4 linked regions of the Notamacropus eugenii genome follow. The protein of the gene in region 3 purifies or fractionates together with the protein of the main gene of each other region. This does not show direct contact. Links are inferred from orthologs where the notes say so. Each region holds a gene or a part of one and is shown on either strand. Other genes may lie near its edges.

Region 1 (7,530 bases), on a different chromosome or scaffold from region 3:
ACATTCACTGTCAAAATTTAGATTTTTAAAAAGTAGCAGTTCACAAAATTTAGTTAGATGACATCTATCTTTGATATTATATGAAAGTTTGAAATCTATTATACTACATAAAATAAAGCTATTGGTTCTGGGTTCTCTGGTCCCATCTATTCCAGATTTTTCTAAATAACCTGTCCCTAGGTTTTAAGGCTATCAACATCATTTTTCATGAAATGGAGAATGTACTCATAAAATCAATGCAATGCTACTACTAGAATCCATGATAACGCACGTTTCCAATACTGGTAAAATGATCTTCTGGGGCCTGCCAAACATTTCACATGCAAAAAATGTCAAATACTTAAAGTCACAAGAAAAATACCTCACTTTTCAGCAAAAAATATATGCAAAATCATCACTTTAAGATGAGCCAAATACAATTAACTCCAAGGAAGTATCTTATTTTTGTGGTACTAGGAGATTGTCCTATTAAATACAGCTTTAAACGAATGAGTCACCGAAGAGATTTGGCAACCTTCTCAGGTTTACAAAGTTTTTCATAATAATGGCATTGTCAATGGTATTTCTCAAACTAACAAAAGATCAAGACAAACAAAACACCTTTATCACATGTATAATACTACCTTTATTCCCACAGCAATACGTAAATTTAAACGCACGTTAAATCTAAGTCAACATCTTCCTATTTTCCACTCCTTACTTGAAACTAATATAAAGAAACTGTCAAATTCAAATAGTTCCAAATCTCTCTCTTCTGAGCAATAAACCAGTAAGAATGACATTCTTAAAGTAAATTCATTCAAAAATTCAACACAAGAGCAATCAGGTTACCAGGAACCATACATTTAACACAATTTCTAATACAGTTTTATTTTCAAAGTTTGGGCACAAATTCATATCCTAGATAAAAAAGCTAGAATACCAGTACAAGTTGAAGACTTTGTTTCATTTCCAATCTGTCATTACCATTTCAAAAACTAAACCTCTGGTAGATGTCATCTATCCAATGTTTACGCTCCAAACTGAAAGCTAAAAGCCTTCTTTTTGTTTTGACTCCACAAAAGGACAAAAGCTCAAAATTTTTGATCAACTTTATGGCAAGAAATAGCCATATAAAAAGAAATATTTATATTCTTCTCTTTGATGTTTGGCATATTCTGGAAATGAATCAAACTAAAAAAATGATCATTTCCTATTGAGTCATTATGTAATCACAATTATTACCACTGTTATTCTTTCACCGAATGATTGATTATCAGTTGCTCAGAAAAAAATGCATCTCCACAATCCTGGAGGTACTTTCAAATGGTAGGAAAGAATTTATTTTAAAAAACCGAAGGCAAATTTCTAAAAACCTGAAGTCAGGACATGCTTGAAAACAGATGTCATTACAGAAACCCCAGTGGAAGATGATGAAGGGTTTTACTTACGTTTCAAAACACCGATCCACGTTGTCAGACATCAAAAGCAGCATACATAGCTGTTCAAGGGCTATTAGTTGCATGTCCCTTTCATCTCCCTGCCCCATCTGTAGCCATTCCAGCAATGTATCAGGGTCCACATCTGCCATGGTTTTTAAAAGCCTCTTTGCTTAAATTAAAAAGTAAAGGAAAAAAGGTCCTTAAAATGCCCAAGCCAGATCAGTGAGCATCAAAAACACATCAGCTACAATCAAATTTTTGACGTCTTCTCCTAGGAATTAAAAAAAGATTCATCAGTAAAATACAATAAATGATTCAGTTCTTTAATATTCAGTCTTCCTCTTCATTCCCACTCAGTATTCCTTACTACACTAAATTCAAACCAGTTGTGCCATTGAACATAAGCAGATTAAGTGGCTGCCTAACCAGAAAGCTTCTTTTATCAAAGACAGTAAAACAAGCTTCAGATCCAACAATTGCTATTACCAAGAATTCCAAGCCAAAAAGGCAAAACAACTTTCCTTTTTTCCACTGGCACATTCCAATTTTTTTTCTTTTTTTTTACAAAAGGATCTGCAAAAGATCATCAGATTCAATATCTCCTAATTCCCTCACATTTCAGAAAATTATTTAAGTTGGTGTTTAAGTTTAAAAGCACCTATTCCAAAGGGGTTCCATCAAGCCAGACTATAAAGACCTGAATGAGGATTCAGGGGAAGTTTTCAGGAGTTACAAAAGTACAAGAGAAGTCCAAGCTGGATAGACACAGGTTAAGCCTTGGCATAGGTAAGCCAGGCTTCTCGGGGCAGGGGCACGCCGCAGATAAAGCTCCGGGACAGGGCAGCAAAGCATGTCAATTACAGATGTTTCTGTAACTGACACGACGGGAAGATTTCTCCAGTCCCACGTAGGCTAACGGGGGGCCGCGGGGGGAGGGGGAGCAGGAAACCGACAACATGTGCCCCGGTGCACCCCCGAGCCAGAAGCCAGCCTCAGCCGGACAGCACACAGAGGCTCCCCACCTCCCAACCCCCCGCCTGCCTCAGTCTCCCTCTCTCTCCATCCCACCCCCTCCACAGCCTCTCCTCTCTGTCTCTAGGTGTGTCTCCCTACTTTTAAGTTTAGTCCCAAGTCCTCCGAAATGAGAGGGAATAACTTCGGGAGAGAAAATGGAGAAGCCTCCCACCTACCGCAAAACAAAAAAGGGGGGACGAGGCGGAGGAAGGGCTGGGGGAGGGGGCCCCCCCAGGACCCGAGGGTCGCGGTCTCTCAGGGGACCAGGGGATGAGCCTCTTCTCAAGGGCAAGCGGGCTTCCCCGGAGCCAGGGGCCGAGAGAGAGGGCAGCCGGCTCCGGGTCGCCTCCTGGGTCCTGGGCAAGGGGGAAACAAAGAATCGTGGCGGGGGCTGCCTCCCCGGGGCCCGGGCTAGGGCACCTGATCCCCGAGCTCAGCTTCCCCGCCCACCCCACAGAGCGAGAGCCGCCCCGCTCCGGGCCGACCGGCCCATCTCCGCCGCCGCAGGCCTCCCCCAGTCCCAGCCTGGGCTCCCACTCCCGTCCGCCCCGTACCAGGCCGCGGGCGGAGCCAGGCCCGGCTGCGGTCCTCGAGTTCGCGGGAAGCCGTAGGCCGCGCGGGTCGAGCCGGGCAGGCGCCGCAGGAAAAGCCCCGCCCTTCGTGCTTCTCTTCCTCCGGAGGGGGCTCGGTGACAGCGGAAGCGAGCGGCCGAGCGCGCACCAGCCCCAGGCGGCGGCAGCCCCGGCAGGGTCCGTCCCCCCGCGGACACGCGGCTCCTCGGGCCCCGCTGCTCAGAGGCCCGCGCTGGGGCGGCGGCGGCGACGGCGGCGGGGGGGGCCCGCGTCCATCGTGCTCCGGGAGGGGGCCGAGGAGAAGGGAGGGAGGAGGAGGGAGCGACACCGGGGCCAGGAAACCACCGAGCGAGCGACAGCCGGACTCGCCGAGCCCAGCGGAGGCGGAGCCGCTTCTGAATCACCCGGGCGGCGGCGACTCCCACAGGCGGCCACCTGGGGCGCTGCGGAGACTCGCTCCCGCCCGCACGCTGCCCGCTCCGCCAACCACCGAGCCAACCGGCCCGCGACGCCGTCCTGCGTTGGCCGTCCCCGCCCGCGTGCAATTGTCCCTGCTCTCGCAGGTGCCCCGGTCTCTCCAGGTTTCCTTGGGGGTGGATCCGGCCACAGTCGTCCCCGAACCTCCTACTCTGCGCACGGCTGTGCCCAGGTCCTCTTGTGCCATGAAAGAAACATGTGGGGGGGGAGGGGGAGGTGCCAGGGGCAGGGGCACGGCAGGCGGTTATTGCAGTGAAAAGGAAAGGTGACAACCGTTCAAACAATCAATCACCATTCATGAAGCGCCTGCCACGTGACAGGTGTGCGCATTAATGATCCTGGGGACGTGAAAAGAAACACGACTTTGTGTGCCCCGGGAGCGCCCATCCGGCCCAGATCCAGGCCCCGCAGTCTCCACGCAGGACGGGCCCGAAATCACCCGGGATTGCAGTGGGGGCTTTCTACCCAAAAAGCGCAGACGAGCAGGTGGGCCTGCCGGGCTACCAGGGGGTGCGTGACAGCCTCGACCACGAAGCTGCGGGGTGGGGGGGCCGGGGCCACGTGCGCTGCGCGTGTGGGAACGCCCCTTTGATGGGGCGTGGAAATGAAATAGGCTTTAAGAAAGAAACTGACTAGTAGGCGTGGCCAGCTGCGGATACAAGGTTGCTGGTTACTTCTTAAAAAGGGGGCTTGGCCTGAGGACCAGCTTCGTGCAGAATCCTACGTGTCTGCGTTATATGTGTGTAGTATATATGTGTGTGTGTGTATACGTGTATAGCTATATATAGTATATATGTGTATGTGTGTATATGTGTATAGCTATATGTGTGTGTATAGCTATATATAAGCATATATGTGCATAGCTACATATACATAATATAAATGCATGTACACACATATGGACAAGCCCATTTGTTGTTTTTTTTAAGTTTGGGAATAATTTTTTGTAAGGTTTCTCTGCTACTTCCCTTTTCCTAGCCTTCTCCCTTTCCCTTCTCAGTTCTCTCCACGGGGTTTTTCAGTGTATTTTCCTTCCAAAAAGTGTCTTTTGTGGCTGGCACAATGATTCGTCAGAACCCGTTTTTCTCAGTGGCAGAGGGAAAAGGTTAAAGATAAGCTCCTCAACTTTTCCTCTTTGTGCCCATGTACACACACACAAGGTGCCAAGTCAAGACCAGAAATCTCACCAGACTGGATCTGTAGTGCTCTGTGAGTGAGCAAGCACTTTTCCTCTCCCTCCTAAGGGAGGAAGGAGACCCATGTCCCAACTATGAGACTCAGAGGTGAATTACTTTTTTCAGAAACCTTTTACTTTATTCTCATGAAGACCAGTCACCTACTCAAAAGGAATTTCATGTACTTGAGGGGGCTATGATCCAGAATGTGTAACTATGCCTTCCTTTAATTTAAAGTTTAATTTAAAATGGGGGAATAAAATGTTATCCCAATTAATCCTATGGGATCTTAGCTCTATAAGGGACTTCAGAAGTCACCTAATCCACCCCATTCATTTTGTACAATGAGGAAATTGACCCCTGTGTGGCTGAACTGGGATTCCAAGTGAGAGGCTGCTCAGGTAAGATGATTTCATTTTTTTCTTTGTGAGCCTAGCACCTGTCACAGGTCCTTACACATAGTTGGTACTCATAAATGTCCATTGAGTTTAAAAGCACTAATCTATCTGCTCTCTGCTACGATCTGCGCCTGTTTAATTATTTTTAAATGAGCAGTCACAGACCCTCATTTAGAACACAGCTACACAGGTAACTTTTCCAAATAAGATAGAACATTTCCTTGTCTAATTAGAAGGGCGCCAGGAGACCAAGTGACAAGCATTACACTTGCTGGAAACAACCAGAATACAAGTGGATTCTCATTAGAAGGAGATCAGAATCCACCAGCATTATCAGAAAAGGCTTCATGAAAGAGGCAGACCTTGTAGGATGGGCTGGGATTTGAATAGACAATGGGAAAAACTTGAGGAAAGACATGAAAATGGAAGTTATCATGGGATGTAGCAGGGAGGTTGTGAAGTTCAGGTAAGACAATGGATGGAAGACACTTTGCAAATCTTAAAGAGCTATGTAAATGCTAATTATTGTTATTTTCCTGAACCTACAGTTACCAGGCTTCCAGTCCTGCTGAGTTCAAGAGATGTTTGTAGGGCTATACACATGTGTGCTGGTTAATGTTTAACCAAGGACGAGAGTGAGACATATGCATATACGTGCATATACATACATGCATACACATATATACATACAGTACACACACATGTGTGTATGTATGTGTGTGTATATATATACACACACTTTTAAGTTTAATCTGCATTATTAACACTTTCTTAAGTCTAGGTAATCAATAAAACAATCAGTCAAGCCCTGATGTGTAGCAATTGCTGATTCTGAGGTGGAAATGCTCACACTCAAAATTTAACAATGGGCTTTTCCAGTTATAACTAGCTCCAGCACACCCCTGGATGTTGGGCTTATAGTATGAAGACCAGCCTGATTTGTCTTAGAGAATCCCACGATGTAAGGTAAGAGAGAAACTAGATTAAAAAGGGGCTTAAAAGCCAAACTGAAGTGTTCAAACTTGAAGAGGTAATAGGACAAAGCTTTAGGATCTTAAATAGAGAGGGACGAGATAAAGAAACAATTGAGACACCACCTAATCATCTGTTGAAAAGAATACTGCAATAAGACGATGGGAGATTGGGTGGCAGGTGGTAGAAAGGAGAATTGAATATAGAGGGTGAAGCAGCCAGAAATCAAAAATTACTTATTTCAGGGTTGAATGTAAGAGAATGATGGTGCCATTTAATAGGAAAAAGAAAGAAAATGAGGACAGGAAGTTTATAGAACCATTGCATAAATGCTGGAAGTTTTACTGAAAATTGTAGTCTGTAAACTGGTGATGCTCTTTTGGCCCTCTGGAATCATTCATTTAAGCTCTTGTCTAAATAGCCAAAGCAAGTTTATATATTAACCATCTGGGGAAAATGACTAAACACCACTATTGAAATGAAATGTACCGTTCTATCCAAACAGTCAGAAACAGTTTTTCATACATGATTTACATTAATACTGGCACTGACCTGGAGTCAGGACTCTATATTAGACCCCTCAAGCTCAGGTAATACTCCCTGGGCTAATCAATAAATACATTTTGATTTTTCCTCTAGGATGCCCAGCATTACATGAGAAAGACCCTTTATAAGTTTTCCAGTAAACTTTACATAATAAAGACAGTGACATGTTTCACTTTCGGACTGGTGAACTAAATAGCATACATACTTGTATGGATCTATAATAATGGAAGAGATTAAGAGGAAATATCCATGCATGGATGTTAACTCTAAAAGTTCTAGAATAAAGTGATCTCAAAAACAGATCCAGTAGGGGAAAAAAGTCTTAGTCATCCTGGGACACCTCACAGTAAAGCAGCCTTAAAATTGGTGTGGGGAGAAGGGAGTGCTGTTCAGCAAGGTGAGCATCAGCTGAGAAAGCTCCAATCACCAAAGCACCTGTCAAAGTGTATCTTCTCAAAAGTGTAATTTACTACCGGCAACTTTCTGTGGGGGAAGGGAAAGAACTAAAGAGAAGGGAAGGATAACTTTCACCTCCTTGGTAAATTCAGTGGCAAACATTTGAGTACTGGCTGTATACAAAGCACCTTTCTAGGTGAAAATACAAGTTCAGATAAGTCTCACTGCCATTACATGGAAATACCAAACTTACATTTTCTTTTATTTTATAAATTTTATTTATTTTCAGTGTTCCACAATCACTACCATACAACCTAGATTTTTTCTTCCCCTCCCTCCTTTCCTCCACCTCCTCCCTCCTTCCCCAAGACAGCATACAATTTTATAGAAGTTCTACACATACATTCCTATTAAATACATTTTCACTATAGTCATGCTGTATAGGAGAATTAAAATGAATGGGAGAAATCACATAACAAACCAAAACGTAATACACACACACAAAAAAATGATCTGCTACATTCTGCAATTGAATTCCATAGTTCTTTCTCTGGATGTC
Region 2 (8,118 bases), about 240 Mb from region 3:
CTTCCAACTATCTGACATAAGCAATACATCATAGATCAACAGACAGATCCAACTGTCTGACCATTACATACATACATAGTTACCATAGAGAGAAGCACCAACACCTAGGTTTTCAAAGCTGGGGGGCTGCTTAGCTGCTTACCAGTCTCATCTGGCACACAAACCTTCTTTCAAAAACTAAGCCCCAAAGTAAAACCACCCCTCAGAGTCTTTACACACTTTTTAGAGCCAGAGAGTATCAAAACCCTAGAGAACCAGTGCCTCATTAGAAAATTAACAAAAGGTGTGGGTCTCCCCTAATCAAGCTTCCCTTAATGGGTAGGCCCATTAAGGGGTGGGGCAGCTCTTTAATCTCATTAAGAAGCAAAATTATATTAACAATAAGCAAAAATGCATTCTCAATACAGAAAGGAAGTCAGGAAACATGGACTTTAGTATTGTTTATTCAACTAAGAGAGGTAACTAAAACATCTGAGATGAGCATGACCATGGCAGTACAGAGGACAGTTTGACTGGGGACAGGGTAGACTTGAGCTGAGATTCAAAGGCAGTTAGACCCTTGTCCCAAAGAATCAGGGTGGAAGTTGTGACTTGAGTAGGGGGCTGGGAGTGGGCCAGGGCTGTGAAGGGATAAGCCAGTAGATGAATGACTACATGACATTTTCAGACTCAGTTATCCCGGAAAGCCAGGAGCGTACTGGAGCCAGCTCATAGTGGTGGATGGGGACAGCCTATTGTTAAACTCTCAGGATGAGCATTTGAACCCCAGAAATCAGCAAAGTCTACAAATTAGGATTTGATTTGTTTTATTGATTGTCTAGACTTATGAAAGTGATGAAGTAAATGTTAATAATGCACATTAAACTTGAATGTGTATTTTTTCCCCAGCACATGAGTACCCTGAGAAAAAGCACCACTGTACCCAGCGGTAGCCCTCCAGCCACTAACTGGCTGCGACAGTTGGGCAAATTCAGTAATTAGTCATTAAATACCTACTCTCTGTGGGTCTTGGCTTTCTTCCTAAAAGGCAGCAGCTAGGTGGCGGGGGCCTGGGCCTGGAGTCAGGATGGCCCCCTTACCGCCCGTGTGACCCTGCCTCAGTTTCCTCATCTGTACAATGGGGGTGATGACGGTCGCCCCTGCCTCCCGGGGTGCTGTGAGGATAAAAATGAGGTGACTGCAAAGCCCTTAGCCCCGTGTTAACGACGATGAGGATGAAGAGGAAGGGCGGTGACGCGCTGCCCACGCCCAGACGGAGGCAGATCGCCGCGGGACGGGGCGTTCTCCCGCTGTTTTCCCTTCGGTCCGCTCTCTTCTTTCACAGCCTGCCTAAAGCGGCATACAGAAAACACGTTTAACACGGCTGCACACGGATAACCCACGTCTGCTGGCTTGCCGGAAGAGGAGGAGGGAAGGAGAAGGGCAGGGGGAGGGAGAAAAATCCGGAACTCAGAATCTTGTTTTAAAAATGAATGTTGGGGGAAAAAAAGGAAATGAAAGGCTCGGGGTGAGACAACTACCGGAAGGGCTCTAACAGCCTAGGAGCCAGTGACGTCACCACGCCCACCCGTCACCGACGCTAACGCGTTGGTTTTAGAGAGATCCCGTTAGGGCCGCGCCTAGAGACCCTACCTCCCGGTTCTGATGGGGCGGAGGTCAAGTTCTGCCTCCCCGGCCTATGACCTTGGGCAAGTCACTCCCCTCTCGGCACCCGTAGGCAGCCCTCTGACGACGGGGGGCACACGATACGCGTCAGTACCAGGCGCTCCCCGTGCTTGGGAAACCTAGATCGGCTTAACTCGGACCTTAGAGCTAATGCTTTTCATTGTTTCCACTCAGAGGAGCGCGCGGTCATGCCCCGCCCCACGAGGCGGGGTGGGATGGGTGGGCCACCTTTATAGGGCCGACACTTTACTCCCGTCACCGGCCGGCCAGCCGACCCTTCTTAGGTCTGCGCATGCGCTTGGTAGCCCGCGGATGCCGGCAGTGGGGGAGGGAGAAGTCGGAGCAGCTAGAGGGAGAGAGAATGAGGAGGGGCGGTTCCTAACGGAAAATAGAAGGGCCCTCTACCCAGCGCCCCGGGAAAGCCGAGGGGGCGTGTTCTCCACCGAGGCGGGGCGGGGAGAGATGGCCGGAGAGACGTTGCGATTGGTTCAGGGGTAGAGGAGGGATCTGTGATTGGCCACAAGCTGCTGGTGGGGTTTGGTTGGCTGGAGAGTCGCGGATTTGAATTTAAAAGGGTTAGGTGGCGCCGACGCCTGCGGATTGTGCGGGAGGCTGGGATGTTTGGAGATATAATTGGGGGTCCTAGAATGTGTATTGTTGGGTGGTAGGAGGGGGAATCCTCCTCGCCCCGCCCCCTCTCCCCTACGGCACCTTCCCTTCTCCCGCCTTGGGTCTTGACGGAACCGGAATAGGAGCAGCTGGTGAGTGAATGGGCCCGCGACTCGCGACTCCCGGGCTCGGGACTGGGGGGGAGGCTTGTCCACGGGGGCTCGTGGGAGCCCTCGCCGTAGGCCTGCCCTGGCCAGGGACCGGCCAAATCCCCATCCCCTTCTTCTCCCCTCCTCCCCCGCCGGCCAGGCCCCAGGTGTCTCAGGCGGGTCTCTGCAGAAATTGCCTCCCCCGTGACGTGTGTGTGAGGGTGCACACGTACTCTCGCTCGGGGTCCTTGGTAGTGAGGGAAGATCGGCCTTTTCCTGTCCCCTAACATTCCACTTGTCCTTTGGGAGAAGAGCTGAAACTGGAATCGGAGGAATGACTTTTGTTTTTAATTTAAAAAGGGGCTGGAGGGTATGCCCGGGTGCCGGCTTGCAGCAGGCGCTTAATAAATGCTTGTTGACTTCCCTTGTGGATCCGGGGCTTGCTTTTCTGCCGACGGCCAGTGAGCCAGTATGACGTCAGGCCAGTGACTTACCCTCTGGGACTCCCTGTTGTCTTCTGTTGAAGCAATTGAACTAGGTGGCCTCTAGGATCCTTTCCAGTTCTAGGTCAAAGGTTCTCCTTTGTGGTCTTTAAGAGGGCACCTCACCTGACAAACTGGATCCCATATGTAGAATTGGAAGTGACCTCAGAATTTCTCTAGGCTCTCATTTTATGAATGAGAAAATAGTGGTTAAGTGACTTGCCTGAGGTCTTACAAGCGACAAATATCCGGGTGAGGACATGAACCCAGGTATTCTGGCTCCTAATGTAGAGCTAGCTCCCTTCCCTCTGATTTAGAATGGGGGAGAGGGGCTGTTAACATATGAGCATATATATGATACTAGCACAAATTTCCCTTTTACCAGACCAAAGTGTCCTAAGTACAATACAGCTCGGTTTCAGCCCATGGGATTAATTTATGTTGTAGAGAAGATGAGGTGGTACGATTGAAACACAGGTGTCCGTTGGAGAGATCCCTAATATTGTCCATAGTCTGTTTTAACTGTGACAGCATATTTCATTGTTGGACAGCTTCAGTTGTTCCCTATTTAAACTGTATTCTGCCTCATAATTTTTGCAGAGAATTTTTTTCTCTAATCTACTTTTCATATATTTGAAAACTATCATATCTCCCCACTTTCTTTTCTTCAGGTAAACTACATCAAACTACTTCAACTGGAACTCGTATAATATGGTTTCTAGACTTCTAAAAATCTTGTTCTCATCCTAGCTTTCAATCATATCCTTAGCAAGCAACAAATACTGTTTGGAAGAGACCCTCTGAAATGTAAAGGAGAAAGACTCCATGCAGGGTTTCTTAAAGATCCTTTTTCAACTTAAGATAATGGGAATTGTGGGGTCACTGTGTCCTGAATTTCTAGCTGGAAGAATAACTCTAACTCCTTTATAACGGTATCATTTCTAATGCAGACTTTATCATCTACAAAGTACTTTATATATACATGCAAAATAAACCTGTTACTATTCACTTTGAATGTGAGCTGTATTGAAACCTTCATTGAGCACACTGCTGTGGACTGAAGCAAGCTGGGTGGTTTGGAGAAACCATTTATATATGGATTACCAAATTGTTTCAGTTATACTTTGCCCAAAGAATGAGAAGTTGATTATGTTAATATTTTTGAGAAGGTCTTAATCTTTCTTTTCATTGTTCTGAGGTAATAGGGTGATGTATTCATCTTGCCCTGTGACCTTTTTCCCAACCAATAGTCCTTTTTCTATGAGGACTGAATCCAGAAAGGGACCTTGGAGGAAGAAAGCCAATCAAATGAGATACGTGTAAATCAATTAGCACCATGTCTCAGTGTATAGTAGGAGCTTAATGAATATGCCTGTTTCCCTCCCCTTCTCCATTCCTACTGTTAACAACCCTAGGTCTAGCCCATTCATTTTATACCCAGATTATTATACTTGGTTCCTAACAGTCTTCACTCCCTCTAATCCATGATACTGTTAACAACCTCCCTAGCATATTCTTTGGTAAGTATTGGCCTCTACTCAAAAACCTCTAGTAGATTCCCTTTGTCTGTGGAATAAAACCCCAAACTCTTCAACCTTATATTCAATGCCTTCCTTATGATCTGGATCCTACCTGCCTAGGCATTTTAGCAGCCTGCCAGTTCAATGGCATTTACTATGTAATACTGCAGGAGAAAAAGACTAATGTGAATTTAGACTGCATCAATATATGTACAACATTAAGAACAAGTGAATTAATTGGAAGGGATCTCAGAGGCCATATTGTCCAATCCATACCTAAACAGGAATTGTTACTATCAAGCCCTTGCTCCAAGAACCATAATGATGGGAAATCTACCACCCAAGGCAGCCTATTTTAGTTAAAATTGTTAGTAAGTTTTGTCTTATGTGTGTGTTCGTCCTTCATTGCCGAAGAAGACCATGCCATCAGAGAAATGATGACATGACTTGCACTTGACTTTGTTTTGAGTGAGGGAGGGCTGTGCAGATCACCAGCCTCACTTCTCCTCCAGAGCCATCTGAATCCAGTGACCAGATATTCATCAGGATGACTCGAGATGACCCAGGATGAGGCAGTTGGGGTTAAGTGACTTGCCCAAAGTCACACAGCTAGTGAGTGTCAAGTGTCTGAGGTGAGATTTGAACTCAGGTCCTCCTGACTCCTGCACTGGTGCTCTAACTGCACCACCTAGCTACTCCAAGTTTTGTCTTATATCAAGCATGAATCTCCCTTTGCACTTTTAAGCATTACTTCCACATATATATTCTGCCTTATGTTTGGAGTTTTGTGTCTAGTTAGGAGTGCTACATTTAGGGGCATTGACAAATTCAAGTTTGCCCAGAATGGGGCAACCAGGATGGTGAAAATATTGGAGGCCATTCCATGTAATGATTAGTTGAAAGAAACAGGAATGTATAACCTGAAGAGGAAAAGACTTTGGGGTAGACATGAGAGCTGACTTAATTTAATAACCCCTTATTGCTTTGTGAAGGACTATTACACAGAAGAGGAATTACTCTTTTTTTTTTTAAACACCAGAGGACAGAAATAAGTGGTAGGTAAACATTATAAAAGAAAGTTCATTTTGGCTTAGTGTAAGGAAAAACTTTCCTAACCCTTAAAACATTAAAAAAAAAAACCCCCAAAAAAACCCCAAAAACAGGCTGCCCAAGGAGGTAGTTTTTCATCATCCATCCCATCACTTGAAATGGTTGAGTGGAGGACCACTTGCTAAGGATGTTGTAGAGGGAATTCCTGTTCATGTATTAGATTGGCCTATGTGATCTCGAGTATTTTCCAACTCTGGAGATTCTGCTTTTATCATACTTTGACTATCTCATTTAAAGCTATTACCCTGTATCTCAGCTCTAAACAACCTGGTTTACTCATTTCTTCTGTATAATGGTTTGGTTTTTTTTTTTTTTACTTCCTACATTTGCCCCTTACCTGGAATGCCCTCCAAGGCCCAACCCAAGTCCTATTTCCTTCATTAGGCCTTTCTTAAGCACCCTTAAGTTTGATAATTCTTCTGAACTCTTATAGCACTTCTTGTCTATACTATTCATTTAATATAGGATGAGAAGGTATGTGTTATGATATCTAGAGAGAACAGAATATAAAGAAGGAAAGAATACCAGAATATACATTAATATATCTGTCCCAATTCCTTAAGTAAATCATAAGCTCTTGAAAAACTGATTCTCATAACTTTTATGTGCAGGTTACCCAGTACGTTGTTCTGTGTGTGTAGTAAGCTTTCAATAGATATTTGCTTCTGATAACAAAAGGGAGGTAGTTAATAGAAATGTGAGGCGGTCAGGAAATGTGGGAGTGGCAGGGAAACCAGGAGGTCTGAGTGGCTTCCTTTTTCTTATAGAAGTTATCACTGATGGAAAAGGGGAACATGGAATTGAAGATGCCCCCGGACAAGGCCTCATCTTCTCAATTGCCTATGCTAGGCCGTGGTACAAAGAGAAGACTAGATAAAGAGAATGCCCCTGAGCCGGAGAAGGTGAGTTGGACTGTAGATATGTGAGAGCCTGGGCAGGGAGAAGAGAGAACTGGATTAGTTGAGAAGGGTGGGGAGCCCCAAGGGGGGTGGGTGGGAAAAAGTTCTCTAAAACTATCCTTTATATATATATTTATTTTTTCCACAGTTAAAGACAATATTCAACATTCTTTTCTTTTTTTAATTTTGAGTTCCAAGTTTTCTCTCTCTCTCCCACCTCCACCTTTCTGAGATGGTACAGTAAACAATTTGATATAGGTTGTACATGAAAACTTTACTTTCTCTTTCCTCAGAAGCGGATTCGAGGTCCTGGAACAGCAGTAACTATTGCCATCTCTCGTCCCAGGGTCTCCACTGTGGCCACTATGCCCAGGGCAAAAAAACAGGAAGCAGGTAAATAAAATACCTGTAGGTTTGACAGATGACAAAAGAATCCAGAGTTTCATCTTTCCTATTTCATGTAATTACATGACCAGAGTAATTCTGTCTTAGGTTATACGTGCAATAGGAGATGAACATGTCTGAGAGGAACGGGTATATTATCTCTTCAGAATAAGAGGTCAGCCCTAGGCTGGCTCTTATATTCTTTCCTGCATAGAAACTGCCCTGAGGATGCTCCCTATCACCTTCTTCCTTATCTCCTCGCAGCCCAGAAGGCTCCCCTAAAAACAGGACCTTGGCATACTACAACGGCCACCACAGGTGAGTAGGCATCAGTAGCTAGATCTCAGGGAAACAAGCACAAGTTGGAAAGGGAAGAATGATGGAGGGATTTGGCTGCCTGTGAATCTGAGCTTGATCTCAGCTCTGCAGCTTATGTCTTAGGTGAACTTTGGCAAGGTAAACCTCTGGACCATAGTTTGCTCTGTAAAATGAAAGAGTCGGTCACTATCAGCTCCAAATTAATTGATGTTATTGAAATTATTATCTCTTATCTTTGTACAGATGTGAAGAATAGGAAGCCAGTCTCTGCAGTCTCTACTGTCTCTGCACCAAAACCTGGTAAGTGGCTAATCTAATCCCTCAGGTTAGGCAATGTACCACTTACAGAGGGAATAGCAGTTGTACTGAGTGCTCTACAAAAACCATTAGCCCATTTCTGTCTCCCCTGTGAGATAAAAAGGAGGGAATGGGAGTTAATGGTGTTTGTTGCTCACTGAAAGGAGAAGAGAAAGGAGCTAGAGTTTTCATTCGCCTTGCTACTCTTTCCCATACCTAGTATCAAGAATGTCCCCTACAAAAACAAGGAAAGGATCTAGCAAGCGTCCAGCCTGGGATGTGAAGGGACAACTGTGTGACTTACGGAAGGAGTTCAGTGCCTGCCAGGTACAGACTGAGGTTCTAACCAGGGAGAACCAGGAACTCAGGAGCCAGTTTGGGCAAGCTGATCAACAAGCCAAAACTCTGGAGGCTGAGAACAAGGTGTTGATTGGGGATCTGACGGAGACTCGGGCCCAAGCTAAGCAAGACCAGCTGGAGCTGGGGAAGTTGAGGGCTCAGGTCCAGGAGCTGGAAGCACTTCTGCATACTCAGAAGGGCCTAGTTCAGTCATTGCAAGAAGAGCGGTTACAGTTGCAAGAAGAACGAAGGGATCTGGCTGCTCGGCTAGAGGTACAGGAGGTGAGTAACGCTTGGGTGGACAAAGCATCGTCCTGTGTGCGTTCACATGGAATTCTTGCTGAGC
Region 3 (7,563 bases):
AGCCACAGCTTGCTAAGATTTCAATCAAGTTCCACAATTATGTTGGTCTGTTCCCATTTTTTGAGATACCACTTTCTAGTTTCCTCAGTATTGCTAAGTAATTTCCCCCCAGGGTTTTGTGATCATCAATACAAATACTATACAGTTGCAGGCATCTGGTTCTAGCGCATTGTTTAAAATTTATTCCATGGTGCTTGTCTTAATCAGAATAAAACACGCACAAAAAAGAAGATATACATTATCAGGGGTCATCAGAATATGGAACAGTTACCATGAACTCAGAGGAAATTATGACCACCATTTAAAAAATTTATGGATGGCATGAAGAAACAGGATACGGGACAGGTAATAAGAATTATTTTGGTCTGAAAAATCTTACATGCCCAAAGTTTGTACCCCGCCCCAAGAAGGGCAATGGAAATATTAGAGTAATATGATTTTTCAAAGTATCTTACAGATCTGTTTGACAACATTCTACTAGAGGTAGAGAGTAGTTAAGTGGCTATAATCTCCCAACTCCTGCCCACCCTACCCAAAAGAAAATAGGGCAAAAAGTAGAGAGATGAAACACTTTCCCACAGATGTTGGGAAAGGGACTATCAAAAAAACAAACTAAAAAAACAAAGATGAGGTTAATACAGGGTGACAAAAGGATTACACTATCCCTCAACAGCCAGTTACTGAAACCATTTTCTGTCATATCAAGCCTGCTACTTCAAGAAGTAAGAATGTCTAGGTTTCAGGAACAATCATAGGCCAATTCATACAGGGTATAAGTCTTTTCTGAAGATTTACAGATTATATAAACAAACTCCAAAGAATAAACATCATATGTGCAAAATCTGCTGGAATTAAGAAACGGAGAATTTACCTGGTTATTTCGGTTTTCTTGCAGAGGAGAAGTAGCATCATCAGGAAAAGTGCTGACATTTCTTCTTTTCAGCATCTGGTCATCTTTTTTAGCTTTCCTCAGTTCTACGTTCACTTCAATACGCCGGCGCCTCATTTCCTTGAGGAAAATAAAATCAAAGTGTTTTTGGTTTTTTATCCACAATCATCTTCTGAATTATCTAAGACAAATTTAGGTTGCCTTTAAATTCATTTCAGCATCCAAGAACTCTCCTTTCTCCTCCACCCAAAAAAATTATCTAGAAAATAACAAGATTAAGGCTACTACTCACTGTGCTGTCTTTTCCTTTGTTCTTAAATCTATTAAGCCGGGCAGCTGGTGAATTAGCATTTTCATTGGTGGACATGGTTGTGTTCAACACTGGGAGAAAAGCAAAGAGGGAACTGAAACAAAAAAGAAATTTCGATGCCTTATAAGAAATCCAACAGGATTTTATTGTATTAAACAGTAATTATTACTTCAACCAAAGGAAAAAACCAGCACTAACATAGCAATATGTCAACTACCAAAGTATCATATTATATATTATAAATATTTCTACATGCTTGCTTCATTTTTCTACTTGTGGTTACCAGACAAAGAATGTACCATTCAATAGGAACCACAGCATAGCCAGCAAACTATATGCATTAAAACTATGAAGTACTCCAGTTCACAATAAATCTATATTAAGCACAGCTTAGCTCAATGCCTACCTGGTACACAGTAACCTCTTAATAAATGCTTGTTAACTGACAGCTAAGTGATAAGCTGCCAGCAATTAAACCCTAGCCAGTCTCTCCATTAAATGTCCCTTACACCAAAATATTATTCTATTTCATTTAAGTAGTCATAACAGTACAATTTTAGTAAATTTTTGGACGTTTCCCCAAACAAATGACATTTCAAATTTAATTTTTAAAACAATTCAAGAATTTAAAGTTGGCAAGCATCAATTTGCTCCTACCTAGCTATGACATGTCCTTTAGAGAAAGACAATATTTAAGGTTTAACATTAAGGGTCCTCTCGCAGCTTAATTGCAAACACAAAGGTGTAAGCAGTTACAATCAAGACCTTCCAGATGCGATCTATCAATTACTTCATGACGTTACTGATTAAGCACTCACTATGTGCCAGGCAGTACGCTAAGTGCTACGGATATTAAAAAGGCAAAAATACAATTTCGGTCCTCAAGGAGTGCAGGTCTTAATGGGAAGACGACAACAACCAGCTGCCTGTTCAGCATCGATAATGATAGATCATTTTTTTAGATGGAAGGCAGGAAAAATCTCTTTAAGGTGGGATTGATTAGAAGCCGAGAAAACGAAGAGAGTGAGGGGCTCCTTTCCTGAGCTGGGGGCGAGGCCGGTATTTAGTAAGAGCCCACTAAATACAGCACGGATTACAGTCAGGGCCCAGGGTGGCGGGCCCAAGGTGTGGCTTAGTTGTCACTGAACCTCAGGAACCAACACAGACTTCACGCCCTGGGCAGGCCGCAAGGTTAGTACTTCCGACCCTTCCCTAAACCAGACGCTGGGTGGGAGAAAGAGAATATTCAGGAGCCCTCCCCTCCCCCACCTTCCCTCCGCACCCCGCTCCCAGAGACCAGCTGGGCCCTAAGCGCTGTCGTCGGAGAAGCTCGGGGGAGGCGACACCGCTAGACACAAAGGCCTGGGCATCCCGGTTGTCGGGGGAGGGGGAGGGGGAGGGCGGCGGGCGGCGGCCCATCTAGCAGATAGGCCCGGAGATCCGAGGAAAAGAACACGTCACGCTTGGGCCGAGGGTCGTGGGAAGCCCACTCCTCTGCAGCGTGCCCCCCTTCCCCAAATAAACTCGGCTACACACGCACGCGCGCTCTCGCACACTCTCACTCCGCAGCCCAGGCGGGGGGAGCGGTTGAAGTAACAGAGGCCGATCTCGGACCTCCGCTGCCACCGGCCGCCCTCGGCAGAGTGACCCAGAGGAGCCGGGTTCGGGAACGCTGCCGCTGCCACCGCGGGGACGCGCCCGAGCGCGGCCCGAGGCCCAGGGCCCCAACCAGGCCCTCCCCCACGAGGCCTGGAGAGCAACAGGCGATTCTCCCACACCCCTCCCTCCCGACAGCCTCGGAGTCAACCGTTTCCGGCCGGCCTAGTCTCCGCTCTCGACGGGCGAGAGAAAAGAACTCACGTTGTAGGAGGTCGCCGGGCCCCGTAGGGGAAGCGAGAGGAGGTCGCAGCTGCGTCACGGTTAGACTTCCAGCAACCACCGCAGCTCAGCCCCGAAAGCCGTGTGGCGCGTGAGGCCCTCCGGCGCGATTTAAATTTCCCGGCGGTCCGGAGCTCCCATTGGCTCATTCGAGCCCAAGCAACGCGACCATTGGTGGATTTGAAAAACACGAGGCTGGGTGGTCCCAAGATGGAGCCTGCAGAGGGAGTAGTCGAGCGAGAGGGCGGGGGAGTGGAGAAGGGAAGAGTTCTCGTGAGATGAGGGGAGAGCAAAACCTGCGTATACATCCCAGAAGTCTTTGCAGCCATGCTTTGGTAGAGGGATGTTTTAATGTCTCCAAGTGCTGGGATGGCGGAGGGCCTTCATTCTTAATCAGTGAGATCTGTGCACACTCTTCGATTTTGGGGAGCTCTGCGATTTATCGTCAAGTCCATGGCAAAGATTAAGTTGTCGCTGTGTGCCCGGACCAGTGCTAAACGTGCAAAAAATATTTTAAAATAGTTTCTATGGGCAGCTTGGACAAATGATTGTTTTCCACGTGCTTGCTTCAGGGAGGTCTCGTCTCTTAGATTGTAGGAGATTTCGAATTTTTTCGTTTTAGAAAATCTTCAATTTGTATTTTTTGGGGGGCAGCTACAATAGATGCTGTGTTGTAGGAGGCCTCTAACTTTTTGATCTGAAGGACCTTAATTTCCCAAGGACCCCCAAAACTTTTTGCTGTAATATTTATGGATATTTATTGTATTAGAAATTAAATTTTTAAGTGTTTAGTTCATTTGGAAATGTGAACATTAAGAATTTTTTATATGAAAAATAACTTTTCCCATACATTTTCTGAGAAGACGGGCCGTTCTACATAATGTTGCAAATCTCTTTAATGTCTGGCTTAATTGAAGACAGCTGGATTCTCATATCTGCTTTTGTCTTCAGATTGTTGCATTATATTGATTTGTTTGAAGTTCATACTACATAAATATGTAGTTGGAAAAGGGAGGGGCATTTTAATAGCCAAATAAATGTTTTAGTATTATTATTATTAGTAGTATAGTAGTATTAGTATTATTATGAAAACAGTTTTGACTTTAAGGGACTCTTTAAGGAACTTGGACTCAAAGACCACACTTTGAAAAGTGCTGTTGCCTGATCTTCCAAAGCCAAAACGGAATGAGGCAATTAACTTTCAAATAAAAATCTTTCATTTGAGATTGTAAAGAAAATCCCGACAGTCATAGGTATTGCCACAGTAACTAGGACGTTGTCCAACAGAGAGGTGACTTGAATATCTCTGCGGCATTTAACACTCACCCTCTCCTGGATAGTGACTCCACTATGGCATTTTCCTGGTATTACTCTCTCTCTCCCACCTCAGTACAAAGCCTCCAGAGGTCATCTAGTCCAAAACAATTCTTAGTTCTTAATTTTGATAGTGGATAGGGAACCTGCCTAGAAGCCAGGAAGACCTACCGGCTGTGTGACAAGTAAACCTCTCAGTGCTCTAAGTACCTTTAAGGCTCTAACTTGTTATATTGGTCGGCCTTTCCTCACCCAGGAGTTGGCTACATTAATGTGCCTATATAGCACAAATTAAATCCAAACCAAATGCTATTAATATGACTGTAGTGGAACTCAATTACAATTTTAACTCATTGTTTCTTAATTTTTGAACCAATAAAGGTGTTGAAATTACCACTAAGAGACCACAAGTTCTCACACAGCTGTTATAAAAGTAAAGGGGAAAGCCTTGGATCTTAAGTCAAGCTCTGCCATTTGCCACCTCTGAAAACTTGAAAATGTCACAACTATTTTCAAATTTCATTGAATCATTTGGATTTTTACCAAATCATTGTTGCCAAACCATTTTGGAGCATACTTATACCCAAGATTTTAGACCTATTGCATAAAGAAGGGCAAAGAAACAAGCATTTATTAAGTGCTGGGCTACTTTGTAAGTGCTCTAAAAATATCTCATTTGATGCTCACGATAACTGTGCAAGGTAGGTGCTATTATCCCCATTTTATAGTTGAGGAAAATGAGGCAGATGATATTGGATAGTTTTACAGTCTTTTGATTTTAAATTCTAGTATTTATTTGTTATCTCATGGAGTCACCGGTGTCTATGATCAAATCTAATTTTCAAGGATTCTGTTACTGAGTAAGATTTTATACTTCTTGTATTAAACTGTTCTACTAAGTTCTTTTCTCTAGAGTTCCCATTCCTTTTCCTATTCTTAACTCTAAAGCTCTTATTTATATGATCATTTTTAAACTTTTGCTTTAGAATCACTGTTTGACAAAAACTGCTAGTAAAACTAGCTAGCAATATACAGACAATGGGGTATAGAAATCTATCTTGCACTATACAATAAAGTAGAAGGGGATGGGGGCTGTTTTAGAAGGGAGGGCAGAGTAGGGGAAGGGATAATCAGAATGCACACCATCTTGGGGTGGCGGGAAAGGGAGGGAACTCAAAATCTTATGGAAGTGAATGTTAAAACTAAAAAATAATTAAAAAACCAAAACTAGATAGCAGTATGATGGAAATTAGGTTTGGATCAGTACCACATACCATATGCCAAGATAACACTCCAAATGATGATTACATGATCTAAATGTAACATTTGGTCAAATCATGAATTAGAGAAGAAAGAAATTACCTTTCAGATCTATGCAGAGTGGAAGAGTTCATGACTAAACAAGCAATAGAAAAGATCACACAAGATAAAATGGACAGTTTTGGTGCAAACAAAATTAATATAGTTAAAATTACAAGAGAAATGTGATTGAGAAAGAAACTTTGCAGCATATTTCTCTGATAAAAGTCTCAAATCCTAGCTAGATGAGGAATTTATACAAATCTATAAAACTAAGAGCCATGTCTCAAGAAAAATGGTCAAAAGATGAATAGGCAATTTTAAAAGAAAGAAATCCAAGGTACCAACAACCATATGAAAAAATGCTCTATATCACTAAAATTATAGAAATGCTAATTTAAGAAACTGAGGTTTCACTTCATACCCAGTAGACTGGCAAAGATGAGAAAAAAGGAAAATGACAAATGGAGGCTTCCAGAAAAATAGGCATACTAATGCTCGTAGATGTGTGAACTAGTCCAGCCATTCTAGAAAGCAATTTGGAACTATGCCCCAAAAGTTATTAACTGTGTATACCCCTTGACCCAGCTATACCACTACTAGGCCAATACCTCAAAGAGGAAAAGAACCTATATGTACAAAAATATTTATAGGAGCTCTTTTCAAAGTAGTGGTTCCTATTGGAAACTTAGGGGCTGTCTTGTTGGGGAATGGGTAAACAAACTGTGATATAGGAAGGTAGTAGAAGATTACTATGCCATAATAAATAATAAAAGAAAATTTCAAGGAAACTAGGGAGACCTCTATGAAGTAATACAAAGTGGGCAGACCTAAGAGAATGATTTATATGACAGAAATATTGTAGAGAAAAACAACTTTGAAAGACCTTAGAATTCTAATTGACGCAAAAATAAACCTGGAGTCCAGTCAATTAATGATAAAAGGATACAACAGAGTGGTTATGAACTTAAAATGCACAGGAAAACATACATTTTGGGGGCATGGTCAATGTGGGAATTTGTTTTGCTGAATTGTTAATTCTTATTATTAGGGTTTTTGTTTGTTTAATGAAAGGTAGTGATCATTAGTGAGAAGGATAGATTATAAATCCGTGTAAAAATGATTTGGAGAGAAAGTTCTTGGTTCATTTATTTCAGAAATTCCAGAAGAGCACGTGGCAAATCTTTGATTTGCTTTGAAGTCTTTGCATGTAGACCATGTGGAATTATTCATTTTGGGGTTTATATCTTAAACATCTCCTGGCTCCATCATAATTTTCTATCAGTATTTATTCATTTTTCCAGTCTTATTTCCTAAATTGTGACTTAGTGCAAGGGTCAAGTTCTGCAAACTCCCATATACTTAGATGTCATGTTCTGGCTCTGTTTGGTCCTAGCTGTTTTCTTTGGTTTCTTCTGCTGACTTCTACTTTTATCTGTTCTCAGAGTACCAGTAGGATTCAATGGTCTCAGAACTCTGGTTGGCTGCCCCTCCTCAGGCCACTGGGTGATTTTGTCTCCCTTAAGAATCCCATGATCAAGGTTCTTGGTTATCTCTGTCCCGATACTTGACACCTTGCTTCATTTTTCCTGTACTCTGCCACCCAAGATGTACCTCTATCACTTTCTCCATTTCTTCTGGTAATATGATGTGTAGTCTTGAATGCAACACAGATGACAATTAGATGACTTCTGTTCTTAACTAAGGGGTAACTGAATATTTCTGAAAAAAAAATCCAAATTTAAAACCAATGAAATCCATTTCTACCATGTTCTCTAATTTTACTTTTGTTGTCCACAGCCCCATAGGCCCAAATTTCTTATGTTTTTGTATCCCCAGAACTTAATGCCTAGCACATAGCAAGAGTTTAATA
Region 4 (7,551 bases), on a different chromosome or scaffold from region 3:
AAAAATCTGCCTTTGGTGTTGTACAGCAGATATGTCAAACCCAAGGCCCACAATACTCAAATTAAAATTTAATTCCTATTTGATTTTGTTATGTTGATGTTTTAATTGAAAAAAAAAAAAACCAACCCCTATAAACACATTTGGTTTTCTAAGTGAGGATGTGACCCTCAGGGTTCCTTATGAACAGATTAATGGTCTCTGTTTCTGTTTAAGATTGACAGCACAGTAGTGTCATTACTTCCCTAAAATAGTCTGATCAATACTAACACAGATTAATGAATAATTATTTTGTTCACCTATGTAACATCTTTCTCAGTACCACAGTTTTATTTTATCCACACAAGTCCTTCTTCTGATCAAAACACAATCTAAGTATTCCTCTCCCTAGTATATAGAACAGGAGGCTAAGGCTCAATTTCAGAGATTTATCTATGCTCAAACTGTGAGTTAGAGGCCTCTGAGTGGGGATTAAAATTCAGACTCCCTGACAAAGCACACTGGTCTTCCAAGATATTTGGCAATCAGGCATTTTCTGCAAATGCCTAAGGGGAAAAAACTAGAGGTAAGAGGAATTCCATAGACCTGTGAATCTTTAATTAGAAAGAAGCAATAATAATTAGAAATAAACTTTCTAATTGGTAATATCCCCAAATTCCTGGTTTCTATAAACCTGTGTTTAGGAAAATAATCTGTAGGTTTTTCAATCATAAGAAATGTTATAAAACATAAGCTTAGCATTCCAAATCATTTGAGACGTAGGATAGTATATAGATAGTACAGGACTTAGAGTTCAGCAAGTCACAACCTCTGAATTTGTTTCCTCCTCTGTAAAATGGGTAAAATCTATTCCACCACCTTCTAGTACTATCCCGTCAGAGCTGTCATGAAGAAACTAAAGTAAATAACATCACATACATTTGTGTGAATGTGTGAAATGTGTATTTCTTTGAAAATGTTAAAGCAATATATAAATACCAATTATTTTTATTATCTGGAATAATAATCTGATTATTACTCTGATCACTTCAACAGTAGGTACTGATACCATGAGTCATTTAAAATTTCATGTAATCAACTCACTAGTATATTAAATAGCAAATTACTTACTAAACCAACTTAATTAACTTCCTTTCAAGCAAAAAAAAAAAGAATTTATCTTGGTAACTTTTTATGGATCAACTAGCTGTGATTTCTAAGATAGCTTAGTTACCCTATTATTTTCTTTTACAAAGGTTGTCCAATAACTGCCAACTATATATATATATGTACATGTGTGTATATATATATATATATATATGTATATATATATATATATATATATATATATATATATAAAATGGCTATATTATTTGTCACTCTCCCCCACAAATGGCAAAGAACCCAAGCTTTTAAATATCCTCATCAAAATGAAAATCTGTATACCAGAAATCAAAACCACATGTCTTGATCACCTCTGGATAACTACCAATTCCAAACTCCAAAACAAGTAAAGGCAGAGGAAAGGCCAACCCATATAGGACACATATAAAAAGAGGGATTTTCAAAATGCACCCACTGCCAGTGTCACTATAACTCTTTCCCCAGAAGGTGATCCACGTGGACCTGGGTTCTTATGAGATCTAAATTAGACTTTTAAAAGAATGGGGACTGAAGTACAAATAAAACAAATACATGAAACAAAATCATCACTCCCAAGAGATGTGGGGGTAGAAAGTGAGCCATTGCACCAAATTTATTCAGTCTTTTCCTCTACTTCCCTTTCTATTCTAGGAGTCTTGACAAGACATAATGAACCCGAGATAATTTCCGATTTTACCCTAATATCCAACCCCTCCCATACACCCCTCTTCCCTCTACCCCAAAAAAAGGAAGCAAGGTCTGGAAATACAAACAACCTTTAACTAATTCACTCAGAATACCCCAAACCAAGATACATATCAGGAGATGGAGTGGCTGGCAGTAGCCCTACCACATATACATTTATTTCAACACTAGCCTGCTGAATTCACCCCATCTCTGGTTCCAGAGGTCCCCACCCCACACATGCCCCAGTTATATGGGGATGTGTGTGCACGAGTGCACATGTGAGGGAAGATATGCATTTTGTGTAGAAGTAGATGTAGGTGGGTGTGTAAGGGAAGAGGCATGTATGAAGTGGAAGATGTGGGTGTGCATGTGTAAAGGAAGAAAGGTGTGTATGAGGGAATGAGTGTGTGGTAGAGATGTAATGTGTAGGGAGTCAGTTAAGTACCCTGTATAATGGAAGATGAGACTGAGTGTGGGTGTATGTGTTTGTGTATAAGGGGGAGGTAAGTGTGTTTTAAGGGAAGATGGATGTGTAAGGGAAGATAGATAGGTTTTGGTTGGGGGTATGCTGAGTGAAGTCAAGGTATGGGGGCATGTATCTTGGGAAAGACAGATGTGTGTTGGGTAAGTTGAGGGACACAGTTGGGGGACAGTGTGTGATGGGGGTGTTGTGGAAGATAAGGGCACAGATGTGGTGTGTGTTGGGGAAGACAGACGTGTATTGGGGAAGAGGGGCGCACAGCGGGAGGGAGGAGTTGGGGGACCTCTGGTGCGCGAAGCCAGATGTGTGTCATGGAAGAAGCCACAAGTACCCTGAAGAAGAAGAGGGCACAGTAGGGGGTGTATTGTGTGGTGGGGGGGTGTATCGGAGGAAGACAGAACTGTACTGGGGAACGGGGGCATGGTGAGACTGTGTGTTGGACAAGACAGAAATGTCCTGGAGAAAAGGGGGAATTGGGGGGACAGTATTGGGTAAGAGCAGAGTACAGTGGGAGCGCCGGGAAGCGGGGCGCACGGAGGTGGGGGGGGGCACAATGGGCTGTGCGTTGGGCAGCGTGGATGCTACGGTAGCAATGGCACGTGTAGACGTGTGTGAGAGGAGGCGGACACTGCGCGCCCAGGGGGAGCGGGGGAGGAATGTTGCGGGGATGGCGTTGGTGGGGGCAGTGCGGGGGTCCCGGGTGAGGGGGGCCCCGGCGGTTTGGGTGGTGGCTGGGAAGGGCTGGGGGCGCCCAACGTGGGGGTCGGGTCTGAGCCCCGGGCTCAGCTAGGCCGCGGCCGCCCGGCAGCCAGGCCGGGCCCGCCCCGAAGCCCGTCCTTACCTGCTGTTGCTGCTGCTGCCGTCCCCGCGGGTAGGGCTTGGTCGGGCCCTGGTGGCAGCGCCGCGTCCGGATCTTGCCGCCGCCGCCCCCTCCTCCTGCTCCCGAGGCCATGGCGGAGTCTCGGCCTCTTCCCGCTCCGGGGCGGGGAAGGGAGGGAGGGAGGGCGGGGAGGGGCGGGAGAGGCGGCGGCGGCGGCGGCGGCCTCAGCGGCCCCCCCACCCCCCGGCCCCGGCCCAAGAGCCCGCCCGGCCCGCTCGCCGGGGCACGGGCACCAGAGGGAGCGCGAGGCCCGGCCGGCGACGGGGGAGAGAGAGAGAGGGCGCGCGCGGGAGGAGGAGGGAGGAAGAGAAGGGAGGGGGGAGGGAAGAGGAAGAGGAGAAAGAGAAGGGGAGGAGGAGGTGGAGAAGGGGCGGCGGCGCCTGCTCCGGGCCCCGCAGCCCGCCCGCCTGCCCGCCCGCCCGCCTGCGGGCACCCGCCTCTGTGCGTGTCACGGTCTCTATGGAGATCTCCGGGGGGAAGCCGGCGCGCGCGCGGGCTCTCGACTCTCGCGCAGCTCCCGGCGCCGCTAGGGCCTAACGCGACCGCCGGGCGGTGATCCTTTCGCTGTTTCCGCCGCCTCAGCCGCTGCTGCCTGTGCCTCCCGCCCACCCCTCCCCCCCGCGCCTGGCGCCCGCCCCGCCGCCGCCGTCGCCGTCGTCGTAGTCTTCTCAGCCGCCGCCGTCGCTACCGTCGCTGCCGCTTTTGCTCCTATTGCTGCTGCAGCGACCGCCGCCGTCGCGAGCCAAAGTGGCGTCACTCTCTCGCGCCGGGTGCGGCGCGTCATCGATCCGCGCCCGAACCCGAGGGGCGGGGTGAGCGAGAGGAGAAGGGAAAGAAGGTTGAACCGGCCCGCGCCGCGCGTAGGGCTGACGGGAAATAGAGTCCGGCCGAGGAACGCCGAGTTTGGAGGTGGGGGAGGGAAGGAGGCCGGGTTTGTTGGGACAAAATGAGGCGCCAGCTTCTTGCGTGTTCTCCATGGGGCTCGGATTCAGCAGAAGCGCGCACGTGCTTTTTACTGGGAGCGGGGTCCTCCCCCCCTCCCAGACTCTCCCTTTTACTCTCCTTGCCCCCGGGGGACTTTCCCGACACGTTACCGCCGGGGGCCTCCCCACTTCTGAGCGTGGGCCTAAAGGGCGCTGGAAGGAAGCAGCCCCCGCGTCCGTCATCCCCTGCCGGCCTCTGACGTACCTCCGTCTGGTAACCTCCCCTCCTTTGGCCTGGTTCATGAAGTGCAGGGGATGGATGAGATCCGAGTTGGGGGGGCGGGGTTCAGAGTTGTTCGGGACTATTTGGCACTCTAGAGATCCTTCTTCGGAACAGTGTTTTTAAACGCGTAAAATAAGAAGCGTAGGACTGGGAAGGACCAGAAAGTTAAAATAGGTACAAAATGTGTGTTTAAGATTTCGACCCCGGCCTCTTCCAGCTGTGATCACTTTCACCGTCTCCTAAAAGTGGACAGCTTATTTACGGCCCTCCGGGTCGGCGGCCGGAGCGATCCTTACGGGGCTTTAGCTTAAGTCTTAAAGCGTAACCAACGTTGACATTGACAGGCTTCCGGGCTCACCGTTCGTCTGCAGGACCAGGCCAGCCCTAGCAGGATCTGCGTCCCTACCATCAGAGAAACTGATGTTCGCTGTCACGCGTGGAACCGCCCCTCCAAGGCCAGACAGAACTGAAAAGCGAAGAGCTTGTCCTCAGTGCTCTCCCACGCCTTTATCTTCACCTTTCTCGCTGATGTCAGGAGAAATCCAATTTTTGAAGGAGCAAAATTTTTTCTCATTTTTCCGGAAGGCAAAGTAACTTAACTGAGGTTGTACAAAGATTATTTTGTAAGTAGAGCGATGAAGAAATTTTTAAGGAAGGAAGAAACGTTGTGATTTGAAAATCACAGAAGTTGCCTCCTGAACCATTGAATTTCCTTCATTAAAAACATTTCTTAAAGTTATGCAACAAAAAGAAATACCTGGGAGAGGTAATATCTTCAAGCCCTTGCTTTTTCTTTGTCAGTATTAGTGAAGACAAAGGCAAAGAAAGGTAAAATCTGTGGGACAGAGGAGGAAAACAACTTATTGTTTTGAAAACACTTTTCTGTGAAATAGTACCTGCAACATTATGATTCAGATAGGTTTTTGTGAGCTAATCTGGTACTAAATTCTTAGCACCAAACGGCTGATTTACAAAATTTTGGAACACCATTTGTTTGCAAGTTGGGGACTCCCAGCAGTGAGAATTTGTGTTATGAAAAATTATCCTTGATGATAAATACTGTCTTCTAGCTTTCTGTGGAAAATTATCTTCATTTTGGAGATGAAATCCATTTAACTTATAACTAAAGTGAAATCCATTTATTTAACTTTGAGTGTAATGCGGCATAATTAATGATTTGCAGGCAGATGTTCTGTTTCTATTTAGTATCAAAATCACATGACAGTGGAAGGAAATGGAATTGTAAGTGTGTTACTTAAATAGTATCCAGTCAGCTAAATGGCCTTTTGTGGACTGGTCTGGGAATCTGACCATATGACCATTTATGAGAAAATGTTAGAAGTTCCAACTCAGAACTTCAGGCCTTGAGAAACTACCCCCATCTCCTAGTGAGAAGATATAAGTATTTAGATATTGGGAAGATTCAGCCCCAAAATATCTTCCATAGGCTTCCTTAGTATAGTGCAAGCTAAGATGGGGAATGAGCTACTCATGTGGTAGCAGAAAGGCATCCTCCAAAGAGGCTACCATGTATAAGGGATATGATATTATCAGGTTTTTCTTATCTTTTTTTTTTTTTTAATGTCAGGGACTGTCTCTAACCTGTTATAGGAGTCAGAAAATTTTGTCCTATAAAAGGCTAGGTAGTAAATATTTTGGGCTTTGTGGGCTAGTAGGTAAAATTGAGGATATTATGTAGGTACTTGTATAACAAGAGAGAAAACTAATTTCCACAGATTCTTTTGATGAAATTCAAAATGTAATAGTCAGTAAACACTTATTTAAGTTCCTACTGTGTGCAAGGCACAGTGCTAAACCCTAGGGATAAGAGGCAAAAGAGTCCCTACCCTCAGGGTACTCACCCTCTAATGGGGACTATAACAAATTCAAGCAAACTATATATTGGATGATCCCCAGAGGGAAGGCCCAAGAATTAAGAGGATTTGAGAGAAGCTTTATGAAGAAGATGGGATTTTAGATGGGGATTAAAGAAAGTCAGGGAAATCAGGAGGTAGAAATGAGAGGGGAGAGCATTCCAGGCATGGAGGAGAGGGAGAATGCCCAGAACCAAGAGATGATGTGTTCTTTTTTGTGGAACAGCAAGGAGACCAGTGTCACTGGATGGAAGGGTACATATAGGGGAATAAGGTATAAGAAGACTGGAAAGGTAGGAGGGGACTAGGTTATGAAGAGCTTTGAATGCCAAACAAAGCATTTTGTATTTGATCCTGGAAGTAATAGGGAACTATTGAAGATTATTGCTGGAGGGGAGAGGGGGTGGGGGCAGGGGGAAGAGGGGCAGTGATGTGGATGGACCTGTGTTTTAGGAAAATCACTTTGGTGGTTAAAAAATGGATTGCAGTGGGGAAAGACTTGAGGCAAGCAGACCCACCAATAGCCTATTACAAGAGTCCAGGCACAAGGTGATGAGGACCTTTACTAGAATGGTGATGGTGTCAGAGGAGAGAAGGGAGCTCATTAGAGACATGTTCAAAGGTGAAATTGACAGGCCTTGGCAAAGGACTGGATATGGAGGTAGGGAGTGGGGCAAGGATGTTGAGGATGGCATCTAAGTTGGGAGTCTGAAGGCCTGGGAGGATGATTTTGCCCTCTTCATTAATAGGGAAGGTTAGAGGGAGGAGGTTTTAGGGAAAAAAATAAGTTCTGTTTTGGACATGTATAATATAACTTTTTTTTTTGGTAATATGGTTCTACTAATGAGAAGAACGGAATTCCTTTTTTGGGGGGTGAGGGGGATAACATTTAGTTTAATTTGAGTTCATAGTATTCCCTATCATCAGAATTGCTTGCAAATGCTGATTCATAATCAGATTTTATTTATTTCATCTTGAAAATGTCTTTCTACCCTAAATACTGATATTAATCCACAAACATATGATTTTGATGGAGTATATTCATCAGTTGAAAGGCATTTATAGAATTTCACTAGATTCTTCGTTAGATAAAGAACCTTATTATGTCATTACATTACAGAGTACTCACTTCAGTTGAAGGTTAGGTGGAAGCTCCTCAGTTACTCAGTTAAATGGATGTTAAAATATGGAAATTTCTTTCACAATTGCATTGAAGTCTGAAAAGCACTGCTGGAACTGTAGTCTGAGGCAAGGAAAATATAACTGCTACAAACTTGTGTGAGAATAGAGATCTCACTTCTTGT

What was found.
Region 1: the proteins of KPNA2 (region 3) and HECTD1 purify together in Homo sapiens (affinity purification with mass spectrometry; 3 studies listed by BioGRID, with this or other methods). This does not show direct contact. The link is inferred for Notamacropus eugenii from reciprocal best matches to the Homo sapiens genes KPNA2 and HECTD1.
Region 2: the proteins of KPNA2 (region 3) and KIFC1 purify together in Homo sapiens (co-immunoprecipitation; 4 studies listed by BioGRID and IntAct, with this or other methods). This does not show direct contact. The link is inferred for Notamacropus eugenii from reciprocal best matches to the Homo sapiens genes KPNA2 and KIFC1.
Region 4: the proteins of KPNA2 (region 3) and NUP153 purify together in Homo sapiens (co-immunoprecipitation; 4 studies listed by BioGRID and IntAct, counting the BioPlex papers as one, with this or other methods). This does not show direct contact. The link is inferred for Notamacropus eugenii from reciprocal best matches to the Homo sapiens genes KPNA2 and NUP153.

Annotation. Positions count from the first base shown.
Region 1 is NC_092878.1:47,883,834-47,891,363, forward strand, and holds the start of HECTD1 (E3 ubiquitin-protein ligase HECTD1), read right to left. Parts: upstream 3,128-7,530; 5' UTR 2,990-3,127; intron 1,693-2,989; 5' UTR 1,571-1,692; coding exon 1,431-1,570; intron 1-1,430. UniProt on the Homo sapiens protein: E3 ubiquitin-protein ligase which accepts ubiquitin from an E2 ubiquitin-conjugating enzyme in the form of a thioester and then directly transfers the ubiquitin to targeted substrates.
Region 2 is NC_092873.1:89,398,728-89,406,845, forward strand, and holds the start of KIFC1 (kinesin-like protein KIFC1), read left to right. Parts: upstream 1-4,948; 5' UTR 4,949-4,992; coding exon 4,993-5,037; intron 5,038-6,302; coding exon 6,303-6,437; intron 6,438-6,727; coding exon 6,728-6,827; intron 6,828-7,082; coding exon 7,083-7,136; intron 7,137-7,379; coding exon 7,380-7,436; intron 7,437-7,653; coding exon 7,654-8,054; intron 8,055-8,118. UniProt on the Homo sapiens protein: Minus end-directed microtubule-dependent motor required for bipolar spindle formation. May contribute to movement of early endocytic vesicles. Regulates cilium formation and structure.
Region 3 is NC_092873.1:327,758,525-327,766,087, forward strand, and holds the start of KPNA2 (importin subunit alpha-1), read right to left. Parts: upstream 3,330-7,563; 5' UTR 3,227-3,329; coding exon 3,060-3,226; intron 3,058-3,059; exon of another isoform or gene 2,740-3,057; intron 2,391-2,739; exon of another isoform or gene 2,076-2,390; intron 1,294-2,075; coding exon 1,182-1,293; intron 1,010-1,181; coding exon 872-1,009; intron 1-871.
Region 4 is NC_092875.1:190,369,264-190,376,814, forward strand, and holds the start of NUP153 (nuclear pore complex protein Nup153), read right to left. Parts: upstream 3,309-7,551; 5' UTR 3,240-3,308; coding exon 3,129-3,239; intron 1-3,128. UniProt on the Homo sapiens protein: Component of the nuclear pore complex (NPC), a complex required for the trafficking across the nuclear envelope. Functions as a scaffolding element in the nuclear phase of the NPC essential for normal nucleocytoplasmic transport of proteins and mRNAs.